Xenopus tropicalis: one gene and its partners. The protein of the gene in region 1 purifies or fractionates together with the protein of each later gene. This does not show direct contact. Links are inferred from orthologs where the notes say so. Each region holds a gene or a part of one and is shown on either strand. Other genes may lie near its edges.

Region 1 (3,513 bases):
AGGGTTAAGCAACGTTTCGGGCAAGCCCTGTGCCCTTTATCAAGCTCAAACAAACAATAGTAGTGCAGGTGCAATTCTCCAATTAAGTAGTCAAATACAGGAAGTGACACAATAGGTGATGCCTTGGCAACGGTTATAAACAATCCATTATATCTACCTACACTTCCTGTATGTGTAACCCGTTGTGCAAACAATTGGAACATAATATATACATTCATAAAAAAAGATATAGATAATAGTCTTTGTTTAACCCTTTTGGCACCAAAGACTGTAATTTATGTATCCACCAAATGTATCCACCAATTTGAGTTCCTGATTCCCTCTATATTTTAGGGGCGGAATCCCATCCAGGACCATAATTTTCAATTGGTTTGCTTTATGGCCCATATCCATTTGAGTGGTCTCGCAAATATAGATGAGTCCACAGGAACAAGTCAACACATAGATTACATATTTAGAGATACAAGTATGGTGCACCCATAATAGGACTTTATGACCTGTGCCTGGGTGTATAAATTCCTTGCCTTTGATCACACTATGGCTTTGCGTGCAGCCTGAACATCGATACATCCCTGGGGTTCTCAGACCCAGGTGTGTATCAGTGCGTCTCTCCAATCTTTGGGCTTTTACCCTCGAGGATGTGACCATATTACCTATCGTTTTACTTTTACGATAAGATAAGAGTGGTGGTGATTTAAAATCCATAATTTGGGGATAACCCCTTTGCAAAATGTGCCAATGGTGTGGCAAAATGGTCCCCAAATTTTTGCTGCAGGAACTAAACTGCGTGACACATGAAATATGACATCTTTTTGTCATTTCTTATTAGTTCTACCCACCTTCTTTATAGCCTGTTGCAAAACATGTTGTGGATAACCCCTTTCTCGGAATTTATTACACATCACTCCTTGTTGTTTTGCTTTCTCATGTTCATCACTTACAATCCTGTCTACTTTAGACAATTGACTAATGGGTATTGATCTTTTAGTATGTATTGGTTGATTACTCCGATAATGTAAAATTTGATTGCGATCTGTGGGTTTGGTGTATATTGATGTATCAATACCACCTCCCTGATTCCTATAAATCAGGACATCCAGAAACTGAATCTGCTGGCGATCAAAAGTTAATGTAAAATATATCGTCGGATATATCTTTTGCAAGTTACCGTGGAACCGTGATAAGGAATCCATGTCACCCCGCCATACCACAAAGAAATCGTCAATATATCTCCACCAGGCCACACAGTGGCCTGTGAAGTCCACATCGCGATAAATGTGTAGTTCTTCCATCATTGCCATAAAGGCATTGGCATATGACGGGGCGACATTTGAACCCATCGCAGTTCCATGTAACTGTAAATAGAATTGGTCTCTAAAGGTAAAGTAATTACATTGTAAAATTATCTCCAACATCTGTACAAAAAAAGAAAGATGCTGTTCAGTGTAATTAGCCCTATTGTTCAATAACCAGGTGCAGGCCTGGATGCCCTCCTTGTGCGGTACTGAGGTGTACAAACTGGTCACATCAAAAGTAACCAGGGGGGATGTACTACTGGCTACTTTTGATGTGACCAGTTTGTGCATAAATTCTCCATTAATCTGGGAAACACCAAATTACCTGTTTCCCAACATTTGTTGGATACTGGCCATAAAGCAGACCAATTGATATGTATGGTCCTGGAAGGGATTCTGCCTCTAAAATATGGAGGGAATCGGGAACTCAAATTGAAACAGAGAGAAGTTTGGTGCATACAAAAATTACAGTCTTTGGCACCAAAAGGGTTAAACAAAGACTATGATCTATATCTCTTTTTATGAATGTATATATTATGTTCAAATTGTTTGCACAAAGGGTTACACATACTGGGAGTGTAGGTAGATATAATGGATTGTTTATAACCGTTGCCAAGGTATCACCTATTGTGTCACTTGCTGTATTTGACTACTGGAGAATTGCACCTGCACTACTGTTTGTTTGTTTGAGCTTGATAAAGGGCACAGGGCTTGCTTGAAACATCGCTTAATTACTACAGACATGCCGGCTACATGTAAGATGTTTTTATTACTATGAACTGAATATACCTTTTTGCACTTTCTGAAAAAAACTTGAGTGCCGCCTTTTCTTGTTGTTTTTTATATATATATTGGATATGGGATACCTTATCCGCAAACCCCATATCCAGAAAGCTCCGAATTACGAAAAGCCTGTCTCCCATAGATGCCATTTTAATCAAATTATTCAGATTTTTAAAATTAATTTCCTTTTTCTCTGTAAAAATAAAACAGTACTTTGTACTTGATCCCAACTAAGATAAAATTAATCCTTATTGGATGTAAAATAATCCTATTGAGTTTAATTAATGTTTTATTGATTTCTTAGTAGACTAAAGGTATGGAGATCCAAATTATGGAAAGACCCCTTATACGGAATACCTTTGGTCCAGAGCATTCTGGATAACAGGTCCTATACCTGTATATATGTATATATGTAGGTCTTTGGCAAATACTGTAAATCAAAAATATATTTTTGTAATTACATGCAAAATCCAATGTTTTGGTCACTACAGAGTGACTTTTCTCAAATACCTGTATATGCACAAACCACAGATACACAGATCCTTGAAAAATATCACACTTTGTGCCCCCTGCTGCCTGATATCCCTGTTCCCTAGCTCTTTCGGCAGTCTGAAATTTTTGTACCGTCAAGGGTACTTTAAAATAATTCATCACTCCATACAACAAGATAATGAACATAGATAAACAGTGTGGCAGGTCTGTAATATGTCCTAACCTCAATCTCAGGAAGGGTCTTATTGTGCTCTGTGCTTTGTGTCCCAAGTATACTTCCAGCTGATCTCCCCTCACACTGATAACGGAAGCGCATCCCCCTCTGTTTTGGTTGCTCTGTGATTTTTAATTCTGGATATGGACTTTCTCGCTGAGAGGCCCAGGATGTGGATGGGCATTGCTCACGGGGCACACAATGTGAGACAGTTACAGTACTGAGCATATCAGAAGGAGTTTCTTCACAAGCAAACAAAGTCGAAGAAGTCGAGGGCATTACAGGCATGTCAGAATTAATAAGATCCATGACATCTTCTAATAAAAAAGAAGAAAAACAGGAAATTAGGTTAGAAAGAAACAATGCTGGTGATAAATATATCAATTTAATATTATTAAACTTTATTCTATAATATGCACAAAATAATGATTTATCTGTATCATCTAAACCAGTGCTGTCCAACTGGTAGCCCATGCCCCCCCCTTGTGTGACTCCCCATCTGTCTGGCTGCTGAGACTACTTACCTTTGTCTAAGATTGAAATGGTATCAATACTGAGATTAACTAGCCCCTGCATTGTTCACACCTGAAAGACCTCAGACTGTAGGCGCACACATTGTTTAGCTGTTCACACCTCAGGCAGACTTTAGAAGTGACGGCATTGAATATATTACAGTAACTGTTGGAGCGGTCATGATCAGTTACTTGTGATACTAATATCTACAGTTAG
Region 2 (4,201 bases), on another chromosome or scaffold:
GCACAAACAGCCCCCCCAGCCCAATAAATAGTGACTGTCTGTGGCACCTTACAGCCCCCCTGGCATTCCCAGTACCCAGAGGCACAAACAGCCCCCCCAGCCCAATAAATAGTGACTGTCTGTGGCACCTTACAGCCCCCCTGGCATTCCCAGTACCCAGAGGCACAAACAGCCCCCCCAGCCCAATAAATAGTGACTGTCTGTGGCACCTTACAGCCCCCCTGGCATTCCCAGTACCCAGAGGCACAAACAGCCCCCCCAGCCCAATAAATAGTGACTGTCTGTGGCACCTTACAGCCCCCCTGGCATTCCCAGTACCCAGAGGCACAAACAGCCCCCCCAGCCCAATAAATAGTGACTGTCTGTGGCACCTTACAGCCCCCCTGGCATTCCCAGTACCCAGAGGCACAAACAGCCCCCCCAGCCCAATAAATAGTGACTGTCTGTGGCACCTTACAGCCCCCCTGGCATTCCCAGTACCCAGAGGCACAAACAGCCCCCCCAGCCCAATAAATAGTGACTGTCTGTGGCACCTTACAGCCCCCCTGGCATTCCCAGTACCCAGAGGCACAAACAGCCCCCCACAATCCATAAGAAGGAGGAGGAAGGGGAATGGGGGTTTTTTTAACCCCCTCTCTCTTTCCCTCCCTTTTTAACTCTGTTAGCCCCGCTCCCCCTTTACTCTGTTACCCCCCTGCCCTCCCCTTTACTCTGTTACCCCCCCCTTTACTCTGTTACCCCTCCCCTCTACTTGTTTTTCCGCCCTCCCTTTTACTCTGTTACCCCTCCCTTTACTCCGTTACCACCCCTCCCCTTTATCTGTTACCCCTCCCCTTTACTCTGTTACCCCTCCCTTTACTCTGTTACCCCCTCCCCTCTACTGTTTCCCCTCCCCTTTACTCTGTTACCCCTCCCTTTACTCTGTTACCCCCTCCCCTTTACTCTGTTACCCCCTCCCCTTTACTGCTGTTACCCCCTCCCTTTACTCTGTTACCGCCCTCCCCTTTACTCGTTGTTACCCTCCCCTTTATCTGTTACCCCCTCCCTTTTACTCTGTTACCCCCCTCCCCTTTACTCTGTTACCCCCTCCCCTTTACTGTTTACCCTCCCTTTACCTCTGTTACCCCTCCCTTTACCTCCTGTTACCCCCTCCCCTTTACTCTGTTACCCCCTCCCCTTTATTCCCCGTTCTGCCAGACTTATTAACCCTTGGGGGGTAGTATATTTTGCCTCTTGTTTTACCCCCAGACTGGTGCCCTCTTATCCCCCCCACACCTGTATCCCCATTCCCCACTCAGTATTACCCCCCAAATCCCATTCCTTTGCTGGGGTGCCCTTTGGGGTTGTGCAGCCTGGGGGCCCCTCATTTTATCATTTTTTTCTGCTCCAGTTCCCAGAGGGCCCGTGTCCCCCCTTGGTGCCTGTTCCTCTGTACGGCCGCTGGCAGTTGCCCCTGGCACAGTGATTGGGCACCCTGGCAATGTCGGACTACTGGGATGAGAAGAAGCTCCCGGCGCAGCCAGAGGAGGGGCGCTATGACTCGGGGGTGGGGGACTCGGTGCAGTCCCTGTCGGACCCGGCTGTCGGCCACCTGCAGTCCCTCCCTGAGGAGAGAGGCGCCGAGGAACCTGCCCCATCTGGGGACAAACTTCAGGAACCTCAAGAACTTGACAGACTGGACTCACTATATGGCTCCTCCTCCCTGACCGAGCTGCTGCCCGAAACCTCTCTGCCCAAAAGTGACTCTGAGGGGCCCGACACCCCAGATTCTCAGCAGCTGGAATGTCTCACCTACGTGTCTGAGGAGGGCGATACGTGAGTTACCCTGTCCCCACCCTGAGTCCCCTGCCCCCCAAACAGACCTGGGTGTCCTGGGAGTGAGAGTCAGACTTGCAGGGTGCAGATCACTGGCAAATACCCTGTTATATACCCATAGTGATAGTGAGGGGCAAATTGCACCAGTTGTATTAATTCCCATTGTGCCTATAAGGTGGGGAGCTGTGAATAGGGGTATAAAGTGGGTGAGGATGGTGTATAAGGTGGGGAGCAATAGGGGTGCTCTTTCATTGATTTAGTGCTGAGCCCAAATAGCCCTTGGGGAACCCATGCTGCAGTCTTTCCTGGAAATAGGGGCCCCCAAAACATGAATGAGAAATGGGGATTCCCTGCCCAGGAGGAAGTGGAAACAAAGAGTCACTCAGACTTGTGTCATAGGGAATTCCACTTGCTGGGAGTTCTGCACGGCCCCCAGGGGCCCACTCTCACCTGCTGTCCCTGATACTGTGCAGCCATTGGTTCCCCTACATTAGGTACAAACCCCCCCTGCCTGAGCCTGTCCTGTACTGTGCAGCCATTGGTTCCCCTACATTAGGTACAAACCCCCCCCTGCCTGAGCCTGTCCCTGATACTGGGCAGCCATTGGTTCCCCTACATTAGTACAACCCCGCCCTGCCTGAGCCTGTCCCTGATACTGTGCAGCCATTGGTTCCCCGTACATTAGGTACAAACCCCCCCCTGCCTGAGCCTGTCCTGATACTGTGTGCAGCCATTGGTTCCCCTACATTAGGTACAAACCCCCCCCTGCCTGAGCCTGTCCCTGATACTGTGCAGCATGGTTCCCCTACATTAGGTACAAACCCCCCCTGCCTGAGCCTGTCCCTGATACTGTGCAGCCATTGGTTCCCCTACATTAGGTACAACCCCGCCCTGCCTGAGCCTGTCCTGATACTGTGCAGCCATTGGTTCCCCTACATTAGGTACAAACCCCCCCCCTGCCTGAGCCTGTCCCTGATACTGTGCAGCCATTGGTTTCCCGTACATTAGGTACAAACCCCCCCCTGCCTGAGCCTGTCCCTGATACTGTGCAAGCCATTGGTTCCCCCTACATTAGGTACAGACCCAGCCCTGCCTGAGCCTGTCCCTGATACTGTGCAGCCATTGGTTCCCTACATTAGGTACAGACCCAGCCCTGCCTGAGCCTGTCCCTGATACTGTGCAGCCCATTGGTTCCCCTACATTAGGTACAAACCCCCCCTGCCTGAGCCTGTCCCTGATACTGTGCAGCCATTGGTTCCCCTACATTAGGTACAACCCCCCCTGCCTGAGCCTGTCCCTGATACTGTGCAGCCATTGGTTCCCCTACATTAGGTACAAACCCCCCCTGCCTGAGCCTGTCCCTGATACTGTGCAGCCATTGGTTCCCTACATTAGGTACAAACCCCCCCTGCCTGAGCCTGTCCCTGATACTGTGCAGCCATTGGTTCCCCTATATTAGGTACAAACCCCCCCCCTGCCTGAGCTGTCCCTGATACTGTGCAGCCATTGTTCCCCTACATTAGGTACAACCTCCCCCCTGCCTGAGCCTGTCCCTGATACTGTGCAGCCATTGGTTCCCCCTACATTAGGTACAACCCCCCCTGCCTGAGCCTGTCCCTGATACTGTGCAACCATTGGTTCCCCTACATTAGGTACAACCCCCCCTGCCTGAGCCTGTCCCCTGATACTGTGCATCCATTGGTTCCCCTACATTAGGTACAACCCCCCCCCCCCCCGCCTGAGCCTGTCCCTGATACTGTGCAGCCATTGGTTCCCCTACATTAGGTACAAACCCCCCCTGCCTGAGCCTGTCCCTGATACTGTGCAGCCATTGGTTCCCCTACATTAGGTACAAACCCCCCTGCCTGAGCCTGTCCCTGATACTGTGCAGCCATTGGTTCCCCTACATTAGGTACAACCCCGCCCCTGGCTGATACTGAGTGCAGGGGCCCAGTATGGGGGTGCTTGGGTGCTATTGGGGAGCTGCAGTGCTGGTGAATGTGGAAGTGGGAATCCAGACGGCTGTTTCCTGAGTGAGCGGCCAGACTGGTCTCACTGGCAGGGCTGGGGGGGGGGGGGTTGGTTATGATGTCAGAGCGGTTGAGGTTTCGGAAGTTTGTGCGTCAGATCAGTCTCTCGTGACAGGTGGTGGGGGACAGGGAGTTAACCCTTTCTTTTCAGTAGAGTAGCAGAACCAGAGGTGGTATGATGAGCCAGTCGGGTGGCTTGGGGTATGACAGGGGCAGTTTCTGGGGCACTAAGCAGCACTGCTGGATGCATGAATAGACCATACTGCTGTACTGGGAGCACTGCCTTCCCCTTTAATGTGAGCTCCAGCCAAGAGTCAGCTCATGTTGGGGTACTGGGGGGGGTGGCACACTGGGGA
Region 3 (4,096 bases), about 38 Mb from region 1:
TGCCATTCATTCCCATGCCATTACTATGATGAACTCGTCTCTAGGTCTCACCTCATCATCATTATATTCATATTCGGAGTCAGAACTGTCTTCCTCTTCACTCTCTGGAAGGTACTGCAAATTCTTGTGTGTCACTTCAACCAGCTGTTGTTGAATCAGCATGTTATTTCTGCCCCATGTGAGCTGGCACGGAGAGTAGCCTTGGTACGTGACTCTGTTTACATCTGCTCCGTGCTTAAGCAGCAGTTTCATCAGGTCGTAGTTCTGCAGGTCCACGGCCATATGCAGCACAGTGCGACCATTGCAAGGCTCCTGTGGTGAGGGAAACAGAAATTTCTCTTAGATCTAGAGGCAAAATTGAATCCAATAGACATGGCAGGAAGAAACATCAGTATGTAGCCAAGTGAAGTAGGGGGAATACTGACCTGGGCATTTATATCAGCCCCCTTATTAATGAGATTTTCCACAATTGCAAGATAGCCATGGATCGATGCCAGGTGGAGGCACGTGTGACCTGCATCGGAAAGAAAGATATTAGCAAGGCAGTTCTAATTCTAATTTGCCAAGTAGCACAACAACACACGTCTAAAGGTTTATAGATTAAGTTTGATACATACCATCATAGTTCACAGATTGCAGAAGTGCTGGCAGTTGTTTCTCACAATACTGGAAAATGACCCCAACTCCCCGAAGCGAGCCCTGCTTGCAGGCAATGTGCAAGGCGGTGTTGCCACAGAAGTCTTGGATTTCTGGATCACAACCAGCCTGGAGAAGTGACTGGCTGATGTCTTGTTGTTCGGTGATTACTGCCAGATGTAGTGCTGTCTGCAGAAAAGACATTAAAAAAAAAAAGAAAAATCAGTAAATTCATTCTCATTAAACACAAAATTGAACTTGCAGAATAAGCTTGTACTATATTCTATCCCTCATGAACATGCTATGAGTGCACTGACTATTAATATTTTAAGTGCTGGCCAACTTACATGTCATAGGTCAATTATTCCACAAACTGGCCCTCTATTATACTTTATATGTTAAAATTCCTTTGGAGGGCCACATCCGGCCCACGGGCCTCCAGTTGGACAGCCCTGCCCTAACCGACAATGGTGGCACATGACAAGCTAATCTAGAAATAAAGTTTTTACAAGGTTTAGAAAAAAAATAAAAAGTAAATTACCTGGTGCAGATTATTCTGCTTGTTCAGGTAAAAATGGTCCCTGTATGAACGTTGGATTGCCTCCTTCACCAGGGTTTTCTCTTCATGGATAATTGCCAAATGGAGAAACCTAGAAGGGAACATAAAAAGGACATGTTAAAATAGAGAAGCAAATTTGTGTCATTTAACCATAAAAAAAGAAAAGATGAACTAGCAGGTTTATGGGAAATGACAAACTAGCTTTCCAATCTTAGCATCTTATTACAAAATGTCATTTCTGTATTTACTATTTCATCATTCAGAAGTAGAAAATGTACCCCCCCCTCCCCTTTGGGAACCAGTAAGTGAAGTGGTGTTAAGGTTCAGTGTGTGGGAAAGATCGAGGTGAATAAAACTTCATAAATTTAGAAACTGCCAAGCAATAGGAAATAATAATTCATAATGAACCTATTTCATCATAGCGGCATGTCGGTGAGCTGCAATACTAGTCAGTGGTGACACAAGTGTGTACTTCCCCCTCCCCCAGCCAACTATGCAATTGTGTAAGTCTGGGGATTTTTTCTTCTCTAGATCTGTCTGTTGTTTTCCGCTTTCTGCTGTGAGTGTGAGAGTGTGTGTGTGTGCAGTTGTGTTCCTGGCTACTGGCCAGGGACTTTCCAAAGCCAGAGTCCTGCCCCTGGGTGCCTGCCAGCCCCCACCCCTCTGAGGCAGCAAGTCAGAGAACAAGGTGTCCTCCCACCCCCCCTCCCTCCAGCTCACACGAAGAAGGGAAAACCCAGACAGATATGGCGTCTCTTCTGCACCAACAAAAAAATTCCCCTACCAAGAACAAACATGCACCAAGCCATCTAACAGCTGCCCGGCGTTGCTGCATGCTTGCAAATACCAATGCATGATATAAAAAAAGCATTAAAAGCACAAGGGTTTTTAACTATTTGCACAACTTACTAATACTGCATGTTTATGGTTGCATGAAAAAGCTGCACAATAAATTGCAGTGTTATGCAGTGTAGCCTGCCCCATGCACCTAACTGTGCATTCACCATAAAGAAGTCATGCATTAGTAAATATCTACATATCCTACACTAAACACTGCCCCAAACCTAGGTGTCCCTGTTATATATATATATATATTAGTGCAGCACTATAGAGTACTATCCCTTTATCAGTATATACACTGTGCAAGGCAGATGTAATGGTTTTAGATGTACTAATACTAAGGTTCATCGCCCCTATACAATATCAGTAGATACTGAGCACAATCCCCAGCCATATAACGAACCCATTCTCTATCACTTACGTGTCTCCATCTTCGTTGACCTCTTTCTTCCATGGCTCCGGCTCATAGTTCGATGTGTCCGGCGGGCCCTCCATTCTCATGTTGCTGAGGTCAGTAATGATAGCCGTGTATTCCTCCTCCTTCAGGGAGTCCAGGCCGCTATCAATGCGATCGTCCTGCAGCAGTTTGTCCTTCCGGAGATCCCTAGCTTCTCCCTCCATCATATTCCCTTGGTAATCGTGAAAAGGCACAGACATGGCGGCGGCCGGTTGTTGAGCTTCCCCGCAAAATAGCTTAGAAGACACTGTAGAATCCCAGTTGCGATAGTGAAGTTCTGTAGCTGTAGCCTCCTCTATACTAATCCCATCCGATCAGAGCGACTTCTGGTAGCGATCTGGCAGCTCCCTCCCCCAGCAGGCTACTTTTACATATACAGCCGGGGTTTTTTCTGGGTGGAGCCGAGCTCAGTTTCCTACTTGTGAACTATTATGTACTCTGGGAAATTCCAAGAATAAGTCAGTATAGGAACACAATGAACCTGACGGAGCCAGTTCTGTGGTACAATAAAAGGAAGAGCGCAGAAATATGTACAAGGCTCAGAAATTCCCTTTTTTCAGACGTGCGCAGCTACTCCATGTACATTCCTCTCAGCACACTCACCATTCCTGGGACACACTGGGGGGATTCGGGCAAAAATACACATTAGTTCCCCACATCATACTCGGCATTTATATGCGTTAAATATACCTTCGTCTGACAGACTATTGATATTATGCTAAATACATAAGAGCTCAACGTCCGGGGAGCCATTTGCATTTTGCACCTTAACCCACACACACAACCGACTTGCACCTAATGATTGATGCTAATGCCATTTTGTTTTATTTCAGCAACTTCCAGAAACGAGGGGTTTACAAACAATGCAACTTTCGCGCAATGTTCCCCAAAAGGCTGCAAAAATTGCGTCATAAGCAGCAAGATTACACTGGGATTCTGGGGAATAACGTTGCATTGTGGGTGAAACATGGAATTTTGCACTCTTTTGTGCATTGTAGTAAGGCTTTCCCACTGGAAAGAAATACAGGTCTTCCTAAATTTTCATCTCTCTACCCAGTTAACATTGGGATATTGCAGTATTTTAACTGGTCAGGCCAGTATAATAACCTCCAGGTGGCAATCCTAATTGCAGTTTGCATTTGCTTTAAAAAAAACATAAGCCCCTTTGTGCATTATTGTTGGGATGAAATGAGATTGTATGAATTTAATAGTTATTATTTTTATAACGATAATAGTTTCAGGTACCTTGCTTAGGTGAAATAACTTAATTGCCATTTGCCGAAGGTTATCTGTCCGTAATTCTTGTGTGGGAATAAAAGTAGTAAACCAAAAACATCATGGAATACTTTGACTATACTATTGTGCGCTCTGCACTAGTGATGTGCCCAGGCCCGGGCCTAGGGCGGCATAAACATAGGGGCGGCATGCTGCCCCGCCGCACGCAAATTTCAAAATTTTGCTCCCATACGGAGCAATGGGGACCTCTCCCCACTGCTCTGTATGGGAGTTTTAACTTTGGCGCATGCGCATTAGCGCGGCGGCAGGGGAGGAGGAGGTGGTTTGCGCATGCGCGCTCGCACGGCGGGTAGGGGGCGCCAAATGGG

Evidence for each region.
Region 2: the proteins of relb (region 1) and nfkbie purify together in Homo sapiens (affinity purification with mass spectrometry; 3 studies listed by BioGRID and IntAct, counting the BioPlex papers as one, with this or other methods). This does not show direct contact. The link is inferred for Xenopus tropicalis from reciprocal best matches to the Homo sapiens genes RELB and NFKBIE.
Region 3: the proteins of relb (region 1) and nfkbia purify together in Homo sapiens (affinity purification with mass spectrometry; 4 studies listed by BioGRID and IntAct, counting the BioPlex papers as one, with this or other methods). This does not show direct contact. The link is inferred for Xenopus tropicalis from reciprocal best matches to the Homo sapiens genes RELB and NFKBIA.

The regions. Positions count from the first base shown.
Region 1 is NC_030684.2:71,135,738-71,139,250, reverse strand, and holds part of relb (transcription factor RelB), read right to left. Parts: intron 3,102-3,513; coding exon 2,794-3,101; intron 1-2,793.
Region 2 is NC_030681.2:2,157,256-2,161,456, forward strand, and holds the start of nfkbie (NF-kappa-B inhibitor epsilon), read left to right. Parts: upstream 1-1,389; 5' UTR 1,390-1,480; coding exon 1,481-1,815; intron 1,816-4,201. UniProt on the Homo sapiens protein: Sequesters NF-kappa-B transcription factor complexes in the cytoplasm, thereby inhibiting their activity. Sequestered complexes include NFKB1-RELA (p50-p65) and NFKB1-REL (p50-c-Rel) complexes.
Region 3 is NC_030684.2:109,511,883-109,515,978, forward strand, and holds the start of nfkbia (NF-kappa-B inhibitor alpha), read right to left. Parts: upstream 2,813-4,096; 5' UTR 2,693-2,812; coding exon 2,457-2,692; intron 1,287-2,456; coding exon 1,178-1,286; intron 826-1,177; coding exon 618-825; intron 515-617; coding exon 426-514; intron 313-425; coding exon 52-312; intron 1-51. UniProt on the Homo sapiens protein: Inhibits the activity of dimeric NF-kappa-B/REL complexes by trapping REL (RELA/p65 and NFKB1/p50) dimers in the cytoplasm by masking their nuclear localization signals.